Notamacropus eugenii: one gene and its partner. The protein of the gene in region 1 binds, or shares a complex with, the protein of each later gene. Links are inferred from orthologs where the notes say so. Each region holds a gene or a part of one and is shown on either strand. Other genes may lie near its edges.

Evidence for each region. Proteins that work in one complex are often made in the same cells at the same time.
Region 2: the proteins of DGCR8 (region 1) and ERH are in contact, whole or in part, in a crystal structure (PDB 7CNC), measured with the Homo sapiens proteins. The link is inferred for Notamacropus eugenii from reciprocal best matches to the Homo sapiens genes DGCR8 and ERH. Residues at the interface, in NP_073557.3 of Homo sapiens: Lys107, Phe108, Ser109, Pro110, Asp111, Leu112, Leu114, Leu115; in NP_004441.1 of Homo sapiens: Val8, Pro10, Thr11, Thr18, Tyr19, Ala20, Glu27, Lys34, Met35, His39, Arg42, Met43, Phe60, Leu64.

The regions. Positions count from the first base shown.
Region 1 is NC_092875.1:10,521,032-10,531,498, reverse strand, and holds the start of DGCR8 (microprocessor complex subunit DGCR8), read left to right. Parts: upstream 1-6,096; 5' UTR 6,097-6,201; intron 6,202-10,467.
Region 2 is NC_092872.1:310,044,531-310,054,357, forward strand, and holds the start of ERH (enhancer of rudimentary homolog), read left to right. Parts: upstream 1-5,698; 5' UTR 5,699-5,784; coding exon 5,785-5,817; intron 5,818-5,837; exon of another isoform or gene 5,838-5,966; coding exon of another isoform or gene 5,967-5,969; intron 5,970-6,182; exon of another isoform or gene 6,183-6,411; intron 6,412-9,827. Other genes in the region: SLC39A9 (zinc transporter ZIP9), read right to left, coding at 5,591-5,698. UniProt on the Homo sapiens protein: May have a role in the cell cycle.

The DNA of each region.
Region 1 (10,467 bases):
ACAGGCAGAACCTGAACTCAGACCCCTAGGACTCTCAGACTGGCCTTCTCCCCATTAAGCAGCCTGGCCACCCGGTTCTTCGTGGCCTCCATGAGAAGGAACAGCCTGGGGCCTTCCAGAGCCTTGAGCTCCCAGAAGGAATCCAGCCCCTTCTCTTCTGTTTTCTGGGCCAGTTCATTCTTTGTAAGTCACATGACTGAGTGTTCATGGTTTTCTAAGGATCACGAGATTCTGAGCTGGAAGTAACCACAGGAAGTATAGAGTCGAGGGGTTCCCAACCTGGGGCTTGGCTTGGTCTTGTTTTAACCACTTTGATCATTGCATGATCCTCTAATTGGTTTCCTTGCCAGTTCTAAACATTAGAATTACAGGCCTCTCGTCTCCCCACAGAACATTAGACAGAACTGTGGCTTCGAACAATGTTATCTTCTTCCTTAAGAAAGTAAAAGGAGGGGAGAGGGGGACTCAAGGTGGGGGGAGAGGACAAAGGACCAACTCGCCATCTGAGCCCCCCCACTCAGACCCTCCTCTCTCTTCCAGCTGTAAGATCCAGAACCTCAGGCCCCCTGCCCCTGGTCCCTCTAGGTGACACCATCTGAGGAGCCTCAGTACTTCTGAGTATGTCCTCTTTGGGCAGGAGAACCTACCTGAACCTCAATTCTGGGAGCCAAAACGGAGGCCTAGAGGGAGCTGCGGCCTGCTTTTCTAGCTACACGCTGGTAGGTCTGTCTAGCCCGGCAGAAGCAGCAGATGCCATCAGGAGCCCCATTTTACAGATGGGGACTCAGAATAGGGTTTAGACAAGGTCACCCCAGCCAAGACTTGAGAAAAGGTTTTCTGACCTCAGGACCATGGATGGCTCCTACTGCAGGGAGTTTTATGGTCCAGGCTTGGAAGGTTAGCTCTCCTGCTAAATCTCTTCTCTCCTCAGCTAATTTCCTTGGAAAAGTTGTCTACATTCAGCAATTCTTTCTCAAACCTTTGGAATCTGGCTTCCCAGTCTGTCACTCATCAGTGTCACCACTAATCTCTCAATGACTAAATCTAAAGGCCTTTTCTCAATCCTCTTTGTCAGCCTTCCTGCAGACTTTGACATAGTTGCCCACTCACTCACTCTTTCTAAGCCTTTCTTTTCTCTCTGAGCTTTTACTCTCCTCTGGACCTCCTATCTGTCTGCTTCTCAGTCTCCCTGCCTGAATCTTTCATGCAGGCTACTCTCCCAACTGTGGAGATGCCTTTTAGGCTGTATTTTCTTCCTATGCTCCCTTCCTTGGTGATCTCATCAGCAAACCCATGGTTTAGCTATCATCTCTATGCAGAAGATTCTAATCTATAGATCCAGCCCCAGCCTTTCTTCTGAGCCCCAGTCCCCCATCACCAACTATCTTGTGGATTTCTTGGACTAAATATCCCATAGGCATCTCAAATATAACATGTGCAAAACAGAATGCATCTTTCCTCCCCCACCCCAAACCTGCCCTTCCTCTACATTTCCATGTTACTGTTGAAGAAACCACCAATCTTTCCAACACCTGGGTTCACAACCTTGGTGGTAGTTGTGGGATTAGGAGAATGGAGCAGGAGGGAGAGATGTAGAAACAGAATTTGACAAGACTTGGCAGCAGAGCCAATGAAGGGGAGGAGAGAGCTAAGGATGAGGCCAAGATTGATAGCTTGGGAGATTGGGGAAAGATGGTGGTAATAGGGAAGGCTGAGGAAGGGCTGGGTGGGAGGGAGGCAAGGGCAAGCTAATTAATTGTTTGGGGAATGTTGCATTCTAGATACACTTGGTAAACCCAGTTCAAAATGTCCAATAGGCAGTGGGTGATTTGGGACTGATGCTCAGGAGAGAGACTGAGGCTCCCAAGAATTGATTTGGGGATTGATTACAGAGATGATAACAAAGTTCATGGGAGAGAGTATAGAGAGAAAGAGAAGAGCCCCAGTTACAGCAATGGGGATTCAGAAAGACTAGTCAACCAGGTGGGAGGAAGAGTGAGACAGAAGAGTTAGGACAACCCAGAGAGGAGAAAGTGATCACCTGAGTCAAGTGCTACACGAAGGTGAATGAGGATGAAGATGATCAGATCTGGCAATTAAGAGATGTTGATGACTTTGGAGATTGCCTAAGAGAGAACTGAAGGAAGGGGAAGCCCGGGAGCAGGGAGTGGAGCTCACCAGTCTCAGCCTGGATGTGTAGACACTGATATTATGGCAGTCTAGGAGAATGACTTGTATATTTAGGGGTAGTAGGAAGGAGGTTTGGAGGGGGATTGGTTCATGTGCATTGTGTATCATCAGCACGATTGACTAGTGCAGATTTCCCACATAGACAATCATGATGACACAAATATAATAGAAACTTGAGCATGTGTAGACATGGAATTGGATCTGGTCTGCAAACTACTCAGTAAGGCGAAACCTTTTTCAACTGGCTAGGTAGCTGGCATGAGTCGCATTCTTCAAAAGGCCTGAGAGCCTTGGCCCTGTCTGTTTAGCTGCATTGCCTTGATTCGACTCCTTTGTAGACCATTATTTGGAGAGACAAGAGTGTAAGAGAAGAGACCTTGGGGCCTCTCTCCATCTAGGCCAGGTGCCCTTGAGAAACAAATCCTAATCTTTGATCCATCCTTTTTTCAGGCAAAGGGGTTGGAGCCTCTGACCTTGTAAGTTCAAAAATGACAGAGAGCAAGGCTCTGAGCTTTCCAGCACCTGGATTTTGTAGCCAACTCAGAATAGGAATAAGAAGGGACCTTCAACCCCTGGAGAAGGACTCACTGACCAGTGGTGCCTCTTCCTGCTGTGAACTTGGTGGCACTAATGTCAGACAGGAACCAAGTTACATTTAAACACACTTCCTAAAGACTGAGGTGGTATAGGGAAAAGTATATCACTGAGGCATTGGGAATATTTTTGTCATTGCTATATATTTGAAGTAGATATCCCCTCCTAAAAGCTCATTTATCTGGAGGATAAATGGAATTGAGTCACTGGCACCTAACAGTGGAAGGAACATACCTGGTAGGGGATGGGGTGAATGGTATTAGAGAAGTAATACCTACTAACACCTCAGGGTTACCCTAGAACCCAGAGAAATGATGGAGCAGGCTGGGCTCCAGGACAAGAGGTCAGCTAACAGCTCCTATGCAGGTATATACAGAATTAAATAAAAGATCATTTCGAGGGAGAAGGCGCTAGCAGGTTGGGGGGGGGGGGGGTGTCTAAGAAGGATTTCACATAGAACCAGGTCAGATACTGAGTTATATGACCCAAAGCAGGCCACTCACCTGCAAAATGGAGATAAAAGAAAGCCCCAGTTTATGAGGCTGTTTGTGAGGCTCCCATGAAATGTCTAGAAGGTGCTTTGAGATCAGGCAGCCACAGGATGGCTGGAGGCGTTAAGAGGAGGAAGAGGAGGTTTATACAGGGAGGACAGTGAAGAACAGGAGGGAGAGAGGGGAGACTGGAGGCAGGGAGGCCACTGAGGAGGTTCTTCAATAGAGAACTGATGAAAGGTTGTTAGGAATTGATTCCATATCATTAACTAGGTGGGTCCGAGCTCCTACTTCAGCCCAAGGACCAAAACCTGGAATGTTCTAGGCCTAACTTAAAAGGATCTCAGGATCACAGAGTGAGAGTTGTCAAGGACCTTAGTGGCTGGGTCCAAACTCCTGATTCTACAGATGAGGAAACTGAGCTCCAGATAGCAGGCTCTCTGACTCCAAATCCAGCACTCTTTCCATCCCCCCATGCCCTTCCCTAAATCCTACATGGACTGTATGAGCAGTGTTGCAGATGCCTTCTGGGGTCCACAGATAGATTTTAGGGAACTCAAAAAATTGAATGAAAAAAATACACCTTTATTTTCTGTGACCTTTGGTTGCCTTTGTAAATCTATATATTTTATTTTATTCATTTGAAAATGTTATCCAGAGGAATGGCCATCCACAGGCTTCACCAGATGTCAGGGAGTTGGAGGTGTCCACCTCAAGCACATGAAGACTTCCCAGGGGAATGGGTGGATGAGAAAAATCTGTTCCAGTGGCCATATAGGCGGCCAAAGTAGGTGCCGTGGAGCACTTAGAGCTTGGTCAGACATCAAAGATCCCAAGGTCATCCACTGTATCCAGGCCATAGTCATCATCTTGGACTTGGATGACTTGGGAAGAGAGAGTGAGGCTGAAGACTGTGCAGCTCCATCTCACTTAAATCCCATTCAAACAGAAGTCACCCTGTGAGGTCACTGGTCCTCTGAATCAAAGGATGAGGGTTGTTACCACCCTGCCAGGTAGGCCTTGGAGGCAAAGCCAGGGGGCACCGGGTGGGTGGTGAGGCACCTGGCCCAAGGGATTGCCTGGGATGAAGGATGATGAGGCACTACCTTCCACTCCAACAAGTTTCTGAATCTTCTCAGATTGCTTAGAAATGGTAGCCACAATATCCCAACAGAGTCCGTCACCTACTTTCCTTTTTCTTCTGAGGGAGGCAGTACGAGGATTATTAAGCCCCCATCCACTAGGACCCTGGGCTCTAGCTAGGGATGCTTATTTGAAATATGGGAATTTTAGGAGGGAGGGAAGAAAAGGGGGATGGAAGAGAGAAGAGGGAGGAGAAAGGAGCAGGGACTGAGATGGGAGGAAGGAGAGAAGTGGAAAAGAGATCTACGGGGGTGGTGGAGTGGGGAGTGAGAAGAAGGAATTTCCCTAACTCAGAATAAACAGGTTCCAGTCAGAAACCTGTGTCTAGACTTAGTTTGCCCACCTACGAAATGGGATGAAAGCCACAGGGATGTTAGTGGAGAAAGGCCAGAGAAACTAAGGCCACAGCATCATGGAGGGAGCCAAGAGTGTCCTGAGAAACCATCCCGGGCCATGGGAACCTAGACCTGGCGTTGGGGCCATCCAGGGCGACCCCCATTTTACTGAGGACAAAACTGCTGCTGATGGGAGGCAAGGGGCTTGGCCAAGACCTGGCGCTGGGGCCATCCAGGGCGACCCCCATTTTACTGAGGACAAAACTGCTGCTGATGGGAGGCAAAGGGCTTGGCCAAGACCTGGCGCTGGGGCCATCCAGGGCGACCCCCATTTTACTGAGGACAAAACTGCTGCTGATGGCAGGCAAGGGGCTTGGCCAAGGTCACTTCAAACTCAGGGCCTTCAGATTTCTGTGGATTATTGATCCCCAGGAGCAGGGCCCCAAAGCCCTCCTGGGCCCCGTAGGCTGGGCAGTGGCTTAGAGCAGTGGCTCTGGGGCGGCTGGGATGAGCATTTAAGCACCTACTGAATACCAGGCACTGCACTAACATGAGCCTCCCTACCACCCTGCAAAGCAGGGCCATTATCCCCATTGTACAGTTAAGGAAACTGAGGCAGGGGGTGAAATGACTTGTCGAGCTGGTGTCTGGGAGACACTGCCTTGGAGACGGAGGGACCTCGGAGAGGTCTAACCCCTTTGTTTTACAGAAGGGGAAACTGAGGCCCAGAGCCGTCACGTGACTTGCCCGGGGTTCCCCAGAAAGTGTTGGCGGCAGAATTTGAACTCGGGTCCCCTTGACTCCACAGTCACTGGTCTCCTTGCCTCCCTCTCCCCGCTCAGCGGCTTCTTCACCTTCTTTCCCGTCTCCTCCCCGCCCTTTCCTTCCCCTTCCCTCCCTTCCCCCCTTTCCCCCTTCCCCCCTTCCCCCCTTCCCCCCTTCCCTTCCCTGGTTCCCTCCCTCTCTCCCATCTTTTCTGCCCATCCCCCTCCTCCTCCACGCGTCCTCCTCCCTCCCCCTCCCCCCGCCCAACGGTCCACCAGTCCCCCCCCCCTCCCTTCAGCTCCGGCCCCGCCCCCTCTGCAGCAAACCCGCGCCCGGCTCCCCCACAGTCCCATTGGCTACGCGGCCTGCCACGTCCCCGAAGGGACCAATGAGGGGCGGCGGCTCGCGACAGCGGCTTGCGATTGGCGGAGTCGGCCCTGGGGGCCCGGTGCGTCTCCCCGGAGGCTCGAGCGAGCCCCGCCTCAGCCTGGCTGGCGGTTTAAAGATGGCGGCGGCAGCGCTCGTGCCCCGCGTTCCCTGACGGACGGACTGGGGGGGGGGGGGGACGGACGGAACGACGGACGGACGGACGGGCGGACGGGCGGACGGGCGGACGGGCTGAGGAGAGGAAGGAGCGGAAGGAGCGAGGCGGCGGCGGCCGGAGCGGAGCGGCTCCTGCTCAGGTGGGCGGCGGGAGCGGCGGGAGCGGAGCTCGAGGCCGGGGCGGGGAGAGGCGGGAGCGCGAGCGCGCGGGGAGTCGGAGGGGAGCCGGGGAGGGGGAGGGGCGGCCGCGCCCCGGGGCCCACGCCCCTCCCCCACTGCGGGAGCCCGGGGCCAATGAATGGGGGCGGGGGGGCCCCCTTTGTGGGTCCCGCCACTGCCCCCTCCGCCCTGCCCCGGGGTGCCCCTCCCCCTCCGGCCTGCCTCCCGACCCTCCCCTTCCTCTCCGCTGCCCCTTCGCACCCCCGCCCCGCCCCCTCCCTCCTCCCTTTCATCCGCGTCCTTTGAGTTGATTTGTATTTCAATGGATTTCTCCAGCCGGGGCTGCGGGGGCTTCCTGCCCCAAGGGGCGGCCGGGGCGGGGGCGGGGGTCGCGGGGGTCCCGCGGGGGCCGGGAGCAGGCCGGTCTTTGTCCCGCTCTCCCGCCCTGAGTCCATGGAGAAGTTGTGGCTGGTGGGGGAGGGGCCGGGGGCCGGGCCCCCCGAACCTGCGGGCTCCCCTCCCCCTCCTCCGGCCCTGCCGGAGCGGACTCGGGCGGGGAGAAGTTCTTCTGCCCCAAACTTGGTTCCTCCACGAGAGGGGGCGGGGGGAGCCTGGGGCTGCCCGGGGCCCCCCGACCCCGTGCTCCGTGCCCGGCCCGGCCCGAGGCGGCCGCCGGAACGTCCGGGGCTGTTTGCGGTTGCACGGCCCCTTTTGAAGCCTCTCTCGCGTTCTTTCTGCCCTCCAAACGCTGAAGCCCCGTCCCGGGGGTCCGCTTGGCCCCTCGTGCCCGGGCCCTCGTCTGTGCCTTGGTAGGCCCCCCAACGAAAAGGGCGCTCCGACACTCCCCGGAGCAGCCCTGTGTCCCCTCCGTATTTTAGAGTGAGTGGTGGAGCTCAGATTCTTGGTCAGTCAGTAAACATTGATTAAGCCCCTTCTGTATGCCGGCCTCTGTGCTAAGCCCTGGAGATACAGAAGAGGCAGCAGATGGTCAACCCTAACCCCCCAGGAGCTCGCAATCTAATGGGGCAGACAGCAAAAAAACAGAGAGGTACAAACAAGCTACGTGCAGGAAACAAACAGGGAAAGGCCCGGAGTTAGATGGTTTGGGGAAGGCTTCCTGTAGAAAGTGAGAAGTTAGTTGGAACTTAATGTTCCAAGCATGAGGGACAGCCAGAGAGAAGGACCGGAGCTGAAAGTTGGAGGGTCTTGTTTGAGATAGCTGGGGGTCTGGCCTCCCTGGATTGAAGACTACAGGGTGGGGGGGAGGGTGTAAGAAAGTGGAGAAAGCAGGGGCCAGCTGGGGAAGGGCTTTGAATGCCAAAACGAGCGGTTTACATTTGCTCCGGAGGCAGCAGGGAAACGTTGGAGTTGGTTGCACTAAGTTGCGCTTAGGTGGGTGAATGGAGGACGGACTGGAGTAGGGAGAAACTTGAGGCAGGCGTTCTCCCCAGCAGCTGTGCGGTGATCCAGAAATGAGGGGGGGCAGTCAGGGGAGAGGGGTGTCCCAAAAGTGAAACTGACAGGCCTTGGCACCATATTATAGGGTGTGGAATGAAGAGCTAGAGAGGAATTCAGGATGGCTCCTAGGTTTGGAAGGATGATGTTGCCTTCCGCCGTTGGAGGTCAGCAGAATGTTGGGGCAGGAATCGTCAGCATAGAGATGATACTTAAGTCCATGGGAGTTCACAAGCCCACCTACTGAAGTAGAAGAGAAAGAGCGTTCAGGACAGAATCCTGGAGGTACCTGTGCTTAGGTGTGAGACAGACAGATGTGCGGATAGTTAGGAGAAGAACCCTGAGAGAAGAGAGTATCAGGGAGTGATCATAGAGGTCATGGAGAAAAGGCTGTTGGATTTGGCAACTAAGAGATCATTAGGAACTTTGGAGAGAGCAGCTTCAGTAGAATGATAAGATTTAGAAGCTGGGATGTAGGAGGTTAAGAAGGGAGTAAGAGGACAGAAAGTGGAGACACCTATTGTAGAGAGCCTTTTGGAGGATATTCGCCTCTTAAGGGCAGAAGAGACTAGAGCCCAGGTCTCCTGATTCGGAAGGCCAGTATTCTTTTTACATTCTACTTCAACACTGATATCTAAAATTGCAGTGCCAATGCTAATGGATACCTTTGGGTCTGTTTAATGAAGTTTACAGTATTAGTTTGTTTTGCTTCATGCACATAAGGTGAGGGATCGGGTTTTAGCACCAAATCTTGTCAGTCCAGACTGTACAAAAGAAATAAAGCCTTTTTCTTTCTGAGCTCCTTTAATGAAAACTATGTCTGTCTAAATTAGGGAAGGCCTGCTGCAGAGACCAAACAGTCTCTGGACCATCCAAAAGAATTAGGATCATTGGTTCTGACATAGGCTAAGCAGAATAAAAAGACCTTTTAGCCCACTGATAATAAAACATCATTTTAAAGTCGTCAAAACAGGTTTGATGTTTGTACCTTTTGGCATTTGTGTTAAGCTGCTGCTTGGGTTGGATTGGCCCTGCACTGGGCCCATTTGACCATTCCCATGTAGAAACCTCTCTGTATGGGGTGCTACTGGATGTATAAAAGCTAGTCTTACATCTCTAATGATGGAGAACAGCCATGGATTTGTAAAAGGTTCTGTTGTTTGTATTGCTAGGCTCAGAGAAGATGCTGTGTGGTTATTGAAGAGGCAAAGGCTGTAAGGGAGGGAGCCTTGATCTATGGGAAAGCTTTGGAAGGGTGTTTCTCATTTAGAATAACAGCTTCCAAATTACTGACATGAATGGGGTTTGTGTTCATCTGAATCTCACTTTGGTGCTAATGAGGTGTAGCTTTCACAGATTTGTCTTTGGCCCAGGTAGAGGGATTCAGGTAGTTCAGAACTCTTGCTTGATTGACATCTCACTTGGAAAAGATCTGTGTGCTGATCCAGAATTGCAGCCCCTGAAATAGTCTTTTTGAATTGCCCATGGAGAAAAAAAGCAATCATTGCCTGCCTGATAGCTAACCTGGCGATAAGCCTCCCCCACACATTCTTAGGGTGGGTTGGGAATTACTTGGTATAAGCAATAATGTTGAGGGCTTCATTTTGTGTCAGCAGGGAGCTTGCCACTGCTTCTCCTGACACTAAGCTGATTCAGAAAGGCTGCTTTTGATCAGATGAAACTAGATTGAGCTGATTTCCCACTCTGAGTTTTCTGTCAGTTGAGTGCTGTATTTCATGCCATACACATGTTTTTCATTCCTCTTGTGTTTTTAATTCTGTGGTTTTTAAAGAAAGGCTGTTAACTCTGGAAACATGCAGGAGTTACAGCTCTCAAGGAGCACACTTCCATGACTGTAAGAGATATCATGGCAGCTGTTGGTGTGGGAAAGGCAAACATTTCAAGAATCATTTACCTAACCCAGTTGAAAACAAAAAAGTGCTAAAAACTGACATTGTGGTAAAACCTGATTTTCAGAAAACAAGCAAAGGACCTTTCTAGGGACTGGGATGTATATATTTTTTGAAGCCTCTATAGTGTGACTGTAGCATAGGTTTCTTGAAGTTAGAAGAACATCAAGAAGACCAGTATAAATAGCTGCTAACCGAGGCAAAAAATGTTTGTCTTAGAAAAGACAATACAAAGACTGGAGTACTATGACTAGAAAAAAGATTAATGTTGATCAGTAACTGGAAAAAGAGTGATTTTCACTGTGATAAAACTCACTTTTTCATTCACGATTGTACCAGAAACCCTTGTCAGAAGAAATCCAGGTGAGATTGTAAGATCTTGTCATCTTTATCAGGTTGTATTATATCCACCAACTTTTTGTTCCCAGGAAACCTAGAGATCTTGTCCCCAAGGAAGAGAAGATGATCTCAAATGCATATATCAATATACTTTCTGAGAAGCAGAGTGTATCCAGGATATTCTGAAATGGAGATGGATCAGCTTCAACATGACCTTGAACTAAGCCATGCATTACATTCATATAGCACTTACTGTATTCCAGGAATTGTATGCTAAGCATTTTTACAGATATTATTTCATTTAATCCTCAGTACTATCATGATCCCCATTTTACAGAAGAGGAGACTGAAGCAGCTAGGTTAAGGGGCTTGCCCTGGGTCACCCGTAGGTAGTGTGACCGGATTTGAACTCTGGTCTTCCTGACTCCAGGTTATATCCTGCTCTATCGGGCTCCCTACTTTAGAAATTTATCCAGGAGATATAGGCAAATGTATTTCATTGACTTAGAAACTCACTTAATTTAAATCCTATTGAATACATAT
Region 2 (9,827 bases), on another chromosome or scaffold:
GGATAGGTCCAAAAACATTTTAAAGAAAGCCATTTATTACAACAACTAACATTTACAGAGTGCTCACTATGTGCCAAGTACTGGGTTAAGTAATTATTATCTCTTCTAGTCTTTAAAACAACCCTGAAAGGCATGTCCTTTTATTACCTCCATTTTACAGATGAGGAAACTGAGGCAAATAGCAAGGAAGTGACTTGCCTAGAGTCACACTGATAGACATGTCTGAGGTCATATTTGAACTCAAATCTTTCTGACTCCAGACCCAGTGCTCTATCTACTGCACTGTATTTCAGAAGAGATCAATATTACATTAACCTAACTTAAAATCTGTATATGCATGCACTTAATATTGTTTTATAAGGAAATGACACATGGAAGCATTGCCAAAAAAAAGACCTGTAACTTCTAACTTTATGCTAGTTTTTTCTTATTTATGGTGGAGCGGAAATATGCTAGAGCAAGGGAAAAAACTATAACTAAATCACCACTGGGCTAGTTTTACCCTAGGCAATAATGAAATTCAAAATCCTGAAGTTGCATATTTGATAATGCTAAACAGAGACAATAAGAATAATCATTAACTGAATCTGAATAGTAAGATTGCTATTATGGTCCGAATTCTTTTGTAGGGAGGGCTATGTTTACATAACTTCTGACTAACATAGCTGTACCGAGCCCCAATATTCCAACTTCCTTATGGACCCTATGGAACAGCATATTCTACTTTAACCACACAATCTGGCTTTAACCACATCACAGGCCCCCAGACTCAGTAACCCAGATCCAATTCACATATTTAAACAGGTGTGTTCTTGTAGTCAACCACAATCACATCATCCATTTAGCCCAAGACAGGACCACAGTACCTAACTATTCATCCTGACCAGACAGGACCACAATCAGAGGGCAGCACGACCAGGATGTTTTACCACTCAACCATTGCCTAATCCCTTAATAAATCATTCCTGCCTTTTCAATATTCATAATTTCTGTTGTGTAATCAGCATCATTAGACTATAAATTTGCTGCATTTTCTTACAAAGTTGCTGGTTCCTTGTGGAACTTAGCCCACTTCATGAGAGGCATCAATCCTCAATAAATGCCTATGCTTGGATTGGAGGTGGTTTGACTGAATTCTTAATGATGGTACAGCCACAACACACCATGGAACTTACATAACATAACTTTTATATTTATAACTTTTATTCCCTTCCATTTTCTCACTAATACTTATCCTAGAGTTGATTTTCCCTATAGGGAAAATATAAAGAAATCAGCATTAACATAAGATTTTTAAAAAATTATTTTTAATGAAGGAGAAAGAGGAGGCAGATGGTATTTCATTTTGGGGCCTAGATTTAGTGAGGGGCAGAACAATGAATACAAGATGAAAGTCACAGATTTCAGGCAGACAGAAAGAAAAATAATAATCACAACTGATCGAAAGTGAGATGGGTTGCATTAAGGGATAGTAGCTTCATCATCAGGAGAATTCTTTAAGCAGGGGCTAGATTACTGCTTATCAGAGACATTATGGAAGATTTCTATTTAGGCATGGGTCAGAATAAATGCCATCTGAGATCCCTTCATACTCTAAGATTTTTGAGATTTTGTAATTATCTTGGGAAGGTAGGTTGGAACTTTGGAGCCAAGTTATGAAGGGTTTTAAATGCCAAATAGGGGAGCTTGTATTTGATATTAAAGGGAACAGGGAGGGAGTCACTGGAGTTTACCGAGCAGGAGAGTAATGAGATCAGACCTAGCGCTTTAGGAATATCACCTTGGCAAGTGTGTAGACAATGAACTGGAAAAAGGGAGGCAGGGAGAGATCAACCAGGAAGATATTGCAGTGGTCTAGGGGAGAGGTGATAAAGGTCTGAACTAGGGTAGAAGTTGTATGAACAGAGAAGGGGACAAGTGAGAGATGGTTAAACAGGTAAGACTTGACAACTGATTATAACTGGAGTAAATTAGAGTGGGTTGACTTGAAGGTTTGGGAATTTGGGTGACTGAGGAATGCTCCCAACAGAAATATGAAAGTTTGGAACACAAGTAGATGGAAGGAGAAAATATTTTGCTCACCAATTGGAGATATGCTAATACACACACAGAGATATGAAGTCATCTTCATGGAGACAAATGAACCCATAGAATCTGATAAAGTTACCTAGAGAATGGGGCCCAGGACAAAGTTTTGAAGTATACCAAAAGGTAGGGATGGGATATGTATGATGAACCAACAAAGGAGACTAAGAGCAATCAGGTAGCTGAACCAAGAGATAGCAAAGTCATGAAAATGAGTCTATCAAGTTACTATTATTAGAGTACCAAATCACTGTATAAAGAATTTCAGTAAGTATTTCCCACACACAAATGAATGCACTGTTTGTTCAGTTGTTTAGTTGTGTCCAACTCTTTATGACCCCATTTGGGATTTTTCTTGGCAGAAATATTGAACTGATTTTTCCTTCTCTAGCTCATTTTACAGATGAGGAACTGAGGCAAACAGGATCAAATCCAGGGCCAGTGCTCTATCCACTTCACCACCTAGCTGTCCTTAAATTAAGAATTTCAGTAAATATTTCCCATACACAAATGAATGCACCATACCATTTTATTTTTACATTTTTGGTCCCCTCAAGTTTCCCAGTGCATTCATTTTATACTTATAGGATCATTTTCCCAAGAAGAGTTGTACAACTTCTGAGAGATGGTCTGTTAATATTGAAAATGTCGGGTTACATTTGTCTGTTACATCTAACTGATGTGTTTCCTTTTAACAATTTGAAATGTATTCATTTCTATTGTGCGTAATAATAATTAGACATTAAGGATCATCATAGTGCTTGGGAAGGAAAATAAAATTAAGCCATCACTGGAAAAAGGTACTCTCACTGTTTCTATTATTCGGATTGACATTACAACTTTACAAACATAAAACCTAAACATTTATTTTTAGTGTTAAGTAATATAAATGAAATTTCTCACCAGTGTAGTACAATGTAAACAATTTAACTGATAATTCAGGAAAATATTGAGTTTAAGAAAGCTTTAACTATGTTGTGGAAAAGAAAACTTTAATGCTGAATTCAATTATAAATGAATGGCTAAATGAAATGATATCTAAGTACAAGTTTTAGACAACTTGAAGGCCTTTTGCTCTGTGTAGTACAGTCTTTTTACATATTCCCTTAGACTTTAGATTTTTTTTTAATGGATGAAATAAAATACATTACAAAGGAAATCAACTGTATTGAACAGTTTAAAAAACATGTATTTTTAAAATTCACAGACATTCTTAAATCTGTCTATGGATTCCTTGGGGGACTATGGAACCCAGATTAAGAATCCTTACCTTAGACAAGGGGTTGGGAACCTGCCTTAGACAATCACACTTTGGGATACAATTTTATAGCACTGCACAAATGATACATAGTTTTTGGCCTGATGAGGGGTAGAGGGTATGGTGCTTCATTGGTAGTAGCTTTTGGCCTTCTAATAAAAACAGGCTTTTCACCTGAATTCATGTGGGACCATACAGGTGTCACTCCCAATAATACTGATTCACTAAAATTCCTAGAGGTTGAGCAGTATGGAAGCAGAGTGAAAGAGGAGAGAAATGACAACCTCCTTTTTCAGTCAGGCTAGTGCCTTTATGTTGCCTCAAAAAGGTTAACTTTAATTTCCTCTGACCCATTCTTTGCTCGTTATTCTTTCTACCTGAAATGTATTCCTCTTCCCATCCAACAAAGGCAAGCTCAAGTAAAGGCCCATCTCTTCCCTCTAGCCATAAAAACTAGGGCTCCTAAACTTTTATACCACTTCGTACTACTCAATGTACTACTTTATAACATACTGTCTTGTTTGATTATTCCATGAGTTCTTATCTCCACATCTAATGCTTCTTCAAGGATGGGATTATGCATTACCTTATATCTGTATTTACAGTATCTAGCACACAACTGGAACTTCATACTTCCAAATACCTTACACCTTTTCTCTTGTATTTCTGGCACACTGATTCTGCCTAAAGTAGATCATCAATAAAAGTTTTCAGAATGAAAAAAAAAGACCTAAACTCAAAATCTCATCAACTCTGACCAACCAAGAGGCCAGTATATTCTTATCTCTGTAGGTTTTGCATTTTGTGAATAACATACATGGCATTTAAAGAATCTATGCTACGTCTATCTTCTCAGCATGCTCAAGGCCTGAAAAATAAACTTTACATTTGCCTAAATATTACGGTATAAGAAAAAATGTTTCGAAAACAAATGTTTCCAAATCTACTTTTTAAATACCAGCATCTCGATCCCTTTCCCATTAGGAGCACACTTAAAATAAAAGTTCTATTTCTGAGATTTTTTTCAGAAACATAGTTGAGAAAAGCTACAAAAATCAAGCTGGCATTGTTTTTCAAAGCAACGACACAAACTGATTTTAACTAGAATCAATCCAATTACCATTTAAAAAGAATCAAACCAATGATCAATTTAAAAGTTTCTTGGTGATAGTTTTATGTTAGTTAGGGATTTGGGAGTAGGAAGGTTTCATGTTAAACTCTTCTGGTATTTTAAGTTAGTCCAGCAAGGGAAAAGGCCTCTGGTTCTGCTGGTTTGGGGATCTGCCCGTACCAATTCTGCTTTACACCAGCTATCTTGAAAACTGAGAGAGAATTGAGAACGTCTTACCTCGGAGAAATTAACAGCCAAGGGGATGATTCCAGCCACGTAACATCCTACCAGCATGGCCAGCGACAGAAGACTAATGGAGAGGAAATCATCCATTTTCTTGTCCTTTCGTTACCCCAAAGGACATCCAACTACTGTTCCCCCCTCCCACCCGGGGTTTCAGAGGGTGCTTAGTTATTTAGACACGTTCGTGGCTCCCGAAGAGCAGGCTTGGGGAGTATCAGCTGCTCCGGTCAGGTCTTTCGGGCTCCAGCCGACAGCAGGTTTACGTTAGTCACTTCTTCCTTGTCTACCAGGGAGAACTGCTGCTTCCTGGTAACAGGACCAGCGAGGGCTTTGGGGGGCCTTATCCCCAGATGACAAGAGCACAAGATTTCTGCTGTTACCAAGGGGAGAAGTCCATGGGGGGGAATGATGCTGTGTGAGACTACTGGCAATCGTAAAGTCACGGCCCTAAAGCTGCGGGACACGGAATGGGGGGCGGGGGATACACTGCCTCAAGAGGCAGGGGAGGCGAGCGAGCCTGTCCCCTGAGTCCGCCCGTCAGTGACCTCCCCCTGTCACCCCCAGGGCCCAGAGCAGCCCACCAGCACCGGCCCACTCTCTTCCGTGTCTAGAGGGCTGAGGAACGGAGGCCGCAGTTCTCTAACGGGAACCTCGGGGGAGGATTCAGCAGAAGCGTGTACAGTGCTCAGTCTCTGGCCTATACCCAGGGGTCCCCCTAGCTGCCCGGCCTCGGCCCGGAGCCTCCCCAGCCGCCGCCATCGCAGCCATTGCCGCCAAGTGGCACCTCCTCCACACATCCACTTCCGGATCTCGGCATTGCCCTCCCCGCCCCCTCCTCCTCCTCTGAAACGTTGCTTCCGGGTCACAACCGTCCTCTCCCAGACACAACCTACTTTTGGTTCTCTTCGACCCAGCCAGCCGCCATCTTTGAGTTGGGCTTGCGGGACTGGATCTCTGTCGCTCCGTGAGCAGCTGATCCCCTGGAATGGGTGTCTGATCATAGGAGCCTAATATTCAGCGTCGTGGAGAGAACAGGATCCGCACCGAAGCCGAAAGCTCCCCGGTAGTCTTTCCCCCCTCATCAAAGATGGCCAGCCAGGCGTCAACGGCTCCTTTGAAGGTATGGGTCTCTGGTCTCCTGGGGGGGGGTGCTCTCGCGTTGCGCCGCCGACTTCCGGTGGCTCTTCTCGCGGGGATTGGCTGTTAGCGGGGTTGCGGCTCAGCTCGTGTGCAGTGGCTGTGGCGGCGGCAGCGGCGGAGCTCCGGACGATGGTGAGAGAGGCCCCGGCGGCTGTCCCCTACCCCAGATAATAACCCTAGGCTGGGAGGGCCGAACCGGAGCTTCCCCTGACCCTTGTGATTCCGCCCTTCTCCCGTCTCCGGGGACTGGGCCCGGCCCCCCGGTGTCCGCATTGTGGCTGACTGACCCCCCCACCCTTCCACCCCTCGCGGTTCACACGCCCGCGGGGACGGCTCGGAATCCCCCTTCCGCAACGTGGGCGACCTCGAGAGCCTGTAGCTGCCCGCCAGAGGCGAGCGCGCTCCGGTCCCGGGGGAGCTGGGCGAGGCCGCGGAGGGCACCCGCTCCAATCCGGCAGGCTCCGGAGGGTGCTGGGGATGAGTCTGCTGCCCACCCCACCCCCACCCCGACCCCGAGGCGACGTCGACTGCTCAGCCTGTTTTCCCTCCAAAATCTGCCGTCTTATGAGTAATGGCATGTGTTTATGGAGAGCAGCCACGGAGCTGCCCTTGGAGTTGGGGGGTGCCCCTTCCACGCGTGGGGGCCGCGGCTCTCTCGTCTACTTCTGAACTGTGTGAATGCTTGTTTTCCTTAGGGCTGTACTTTCCTTCTACTCCCCCTTCCCCCTTTCTGTATTCCCGCTCTTCATATTTTATTACCCGTGCCTTCCCCAAGTGAGGGTTGGATGTAGAACTTAAGAGTTTGCGAATCAAGTGAGCTTCTGTTTGTAAGAGTCTCTTACTCTGCATCAGTTTTAAATTGTAGAGGATCTGTGTGTATAAAGGAATCCTGTACGCATGGTGCCTGCAAATAGGCGGTTATTGAGTCCTTGCGAGGTTGGAGCGAAAAGAATAACTTGGACCGTGGATAATATGTCTTTCTGGGAAATATTTTCAGTGCTTCACACTTTTATTGATCATTTTAAATATCTCTTGTGTTAATAGAGCAAACTAATTCAAAAGGTGCCCCTGACAACAACTTGCTCCTGTCACGCACATTGGAGTCATCTGCTGTTTTTTAGTCTGATTAGAATTTAAAATGGCAATCAGAGAAATTCAATTAGCTTTCTTGTGAAAAACATTTGCTTTCGCATTTCATGACTAGATTAAGTAATCTTGATTTGTTTTTAAAGAATTTTGAGATGCCTTTTAAAGGGAAATATAGGTCTTTTAATTGTTCAACGGCATAAACTACTATGGTATTATATAAACATTTCAAGAGCACCTACTCTGACAGGCACTCTGCATGGGGTGTCAGAATGGGGTACGGCTCTGGATTCAGACTTGAGCCTAGAGGCTTGCTTGTTTAGCAGTCAGGTGGTAATGTTCAAAACTGCATTTTAAAGACATTGGAGAAATGCACAACGTTATTGTGAGGTCCTTTTACCACCGTTAGTTTCAGGAGGACGATGGAGTTGGATTTTAAGGGAGGTAGAAATTGAAGAAACATTTGGAGACAAAATGTTGTCTTAGAATTTGTCATATTAGATTATATTTGGGGAGGTTGAAAAATTGAAGTACCAATGCTAGAATGAATAAGATTACCTAGAATTGTAGATTTTTTGAGGGAGGGGAGATAATTCAGAGTGAAAATGAGTTTCCTAAATTCTACTTAGGTAGCCATATGTTTCCTCATATTTGGTATTAGCATGGTTTTTTACTGTAATTCGTGGTAAAAAGAATTGCTGCTTTGTGTTAAAAGTCCAAAAAAAATTCATGAGGAATGCTTTAGAACAAATTTGGCTAATAGAAGGAATATAAAATATAACTGGGTTGACTATAAAATGAAGAACCTCCAGAAAGCTCTGCAGACAGCGCTGGTATGAGGAAAGAGTATAGTTAAAAAATGCTTTTAGTATCTTATGATAGAAAAAGAAAAATCTTTATTATAAAAATAACAAGTCTGTATTATTTATCCCTTAAATCTATTCAGACCGGTTAAGTTCCATTATGCATTTAGAATTGGATAAACCAATAGTCTTTAAGCCTCTAAGCAAAAGTGATCAAATTTGCTAAAGTTATAAGCTTGGGAGTGATAAATACTACAAGACCTGGTGCAAAGTGCTGATCTCAAACAGTTTAGGGTTTGGATATCAAACAAGGAAGGTTTCTGTGGAGATGGGCTTTGATCCTGGTTACTGAATGAAGGGTAATATTTTGTTAGGAGGAGATGGGTAGGATAGGTAGAAAGATAATAGGAAGGGTTAGGAGCAGTGAACATATCCAGTGTTTGGGGAATGGCCTTTTTATCTAAAATATGGGGAGAAAGGAGGGTGAAAAGATAGTTTGTAGTAATATTATGGAATGTATTGAATGCCAAGAGAATTGAAATTGAAAGAATTATTTAATTCTTATTTTAAGAAGAGAGATCATAAACATCAAGCCACTAGCACTCTTTCAACCACGTGCAGCTTGATGGTCCTAATTAATTGCCGTATCTAATTGATGGGGCAAATCCACGTACACTTGTTCTTTTGATTGTTCTCTTTTGTTATTATTTGTCAATTTCATCCCCCTCCCACATTGACCTTTCCTTTATAACAAAAGGGGCAGCTGTTTAAGCAAAACAAACACATCAACCATATTTTATATAGCCCAGCACTTCTCCCGAGGTGTGGTCCAGGGACTCCCCAGGATACCTGAGACCCTTTTAGGAGAACCTAGAAGTCAAACCTATAATAATGTTACTGTTTCATTTCCTTTTTTCCCCTTATTTCCCATTTAAAATACTTTTCCCTTTTCCAATTACTTGTCTCTGTAAGGCTGGTTTTTCTTCACATAATTCAGTGCAAACAACACATCTCAAAAGTGTGAATGCAGAAGCATTCACAGAAGCAGCAAACAATCCAGTATCCTCTATTAAACCAGGCATTAAAGAGATTTGCAGAAATATATAAAATAATTACATTATCCTTAACAATTTTTTCTTTTGGAAAATATGGAATTTTTCCCACAAAAGTTTAATTAGCATGTGATAAGTTTGTTTTCTTAATGAATTAAATATTTTAAAATTCATCAGTTTTCATTTCTACTGTGGTAAATATCAATATTGAACATAAACAGGTTATTTGTTCTCAATAATTTTTAAGAATGTTAAAATTTGAGAACTGTTGTTACAGTGTGTGCAACATTCCATAGCCACATTCCCCTACCACTCTCCTCTTCTTCAGGACCAAAGATTAATAATTATAATTACATAGGGTAGAATTTAATTTTATCTTTTGTATCGTGTTTTTCCTGGTTATAATTACTTCTCTGTTCATCAATTCTTACAAGTCTTAACTAGTTTCTCTTATTATAGGCCAAATGATATGGATAATTTATCCCTTTTCACATAATTCAAAATTGTTTTCCATGATGGTTATACCATTTCATGGCTCCATCAACATTGTTAGTATGTATGTGATCCCATAGCCCCTCCAACATGAAATAGGTCTGTCGTTTGTCATCTTTGGCAATTTGCTGACTATGAGATAAAACCTCAGAATTGTTTCGATTTACCTTTTAATTATTAGTAATTTGGAGATCTTTCATATAGTTGTTAATAGCTTACAAATGCTTTTTTGAGAAATGTTTGTTCATATACTTTGACCACTTTTCTAACAGGGATTGCATTTTGGTTTTATACCTTTGTATTAGTTAATTTCAGATATAATTGATGCAAGGATGTTTTTCCTTTCTAATCAACAGTTTACTATATCCTAGTTTCATTGATTTTGTTGATGCAGAAACTTTTCTATTTCATGTGATTGAAATTGTTTCGCTTGTTAACTGTTTCTTGCTTGACATTTACTTCCATCTTCCTCCATTTTTTTAAATGATATGACCTTTTTTATGTTTATTCTTTAGGCCATAATCCATTTGGAACTTAATTATGGTATATTGTTTTAG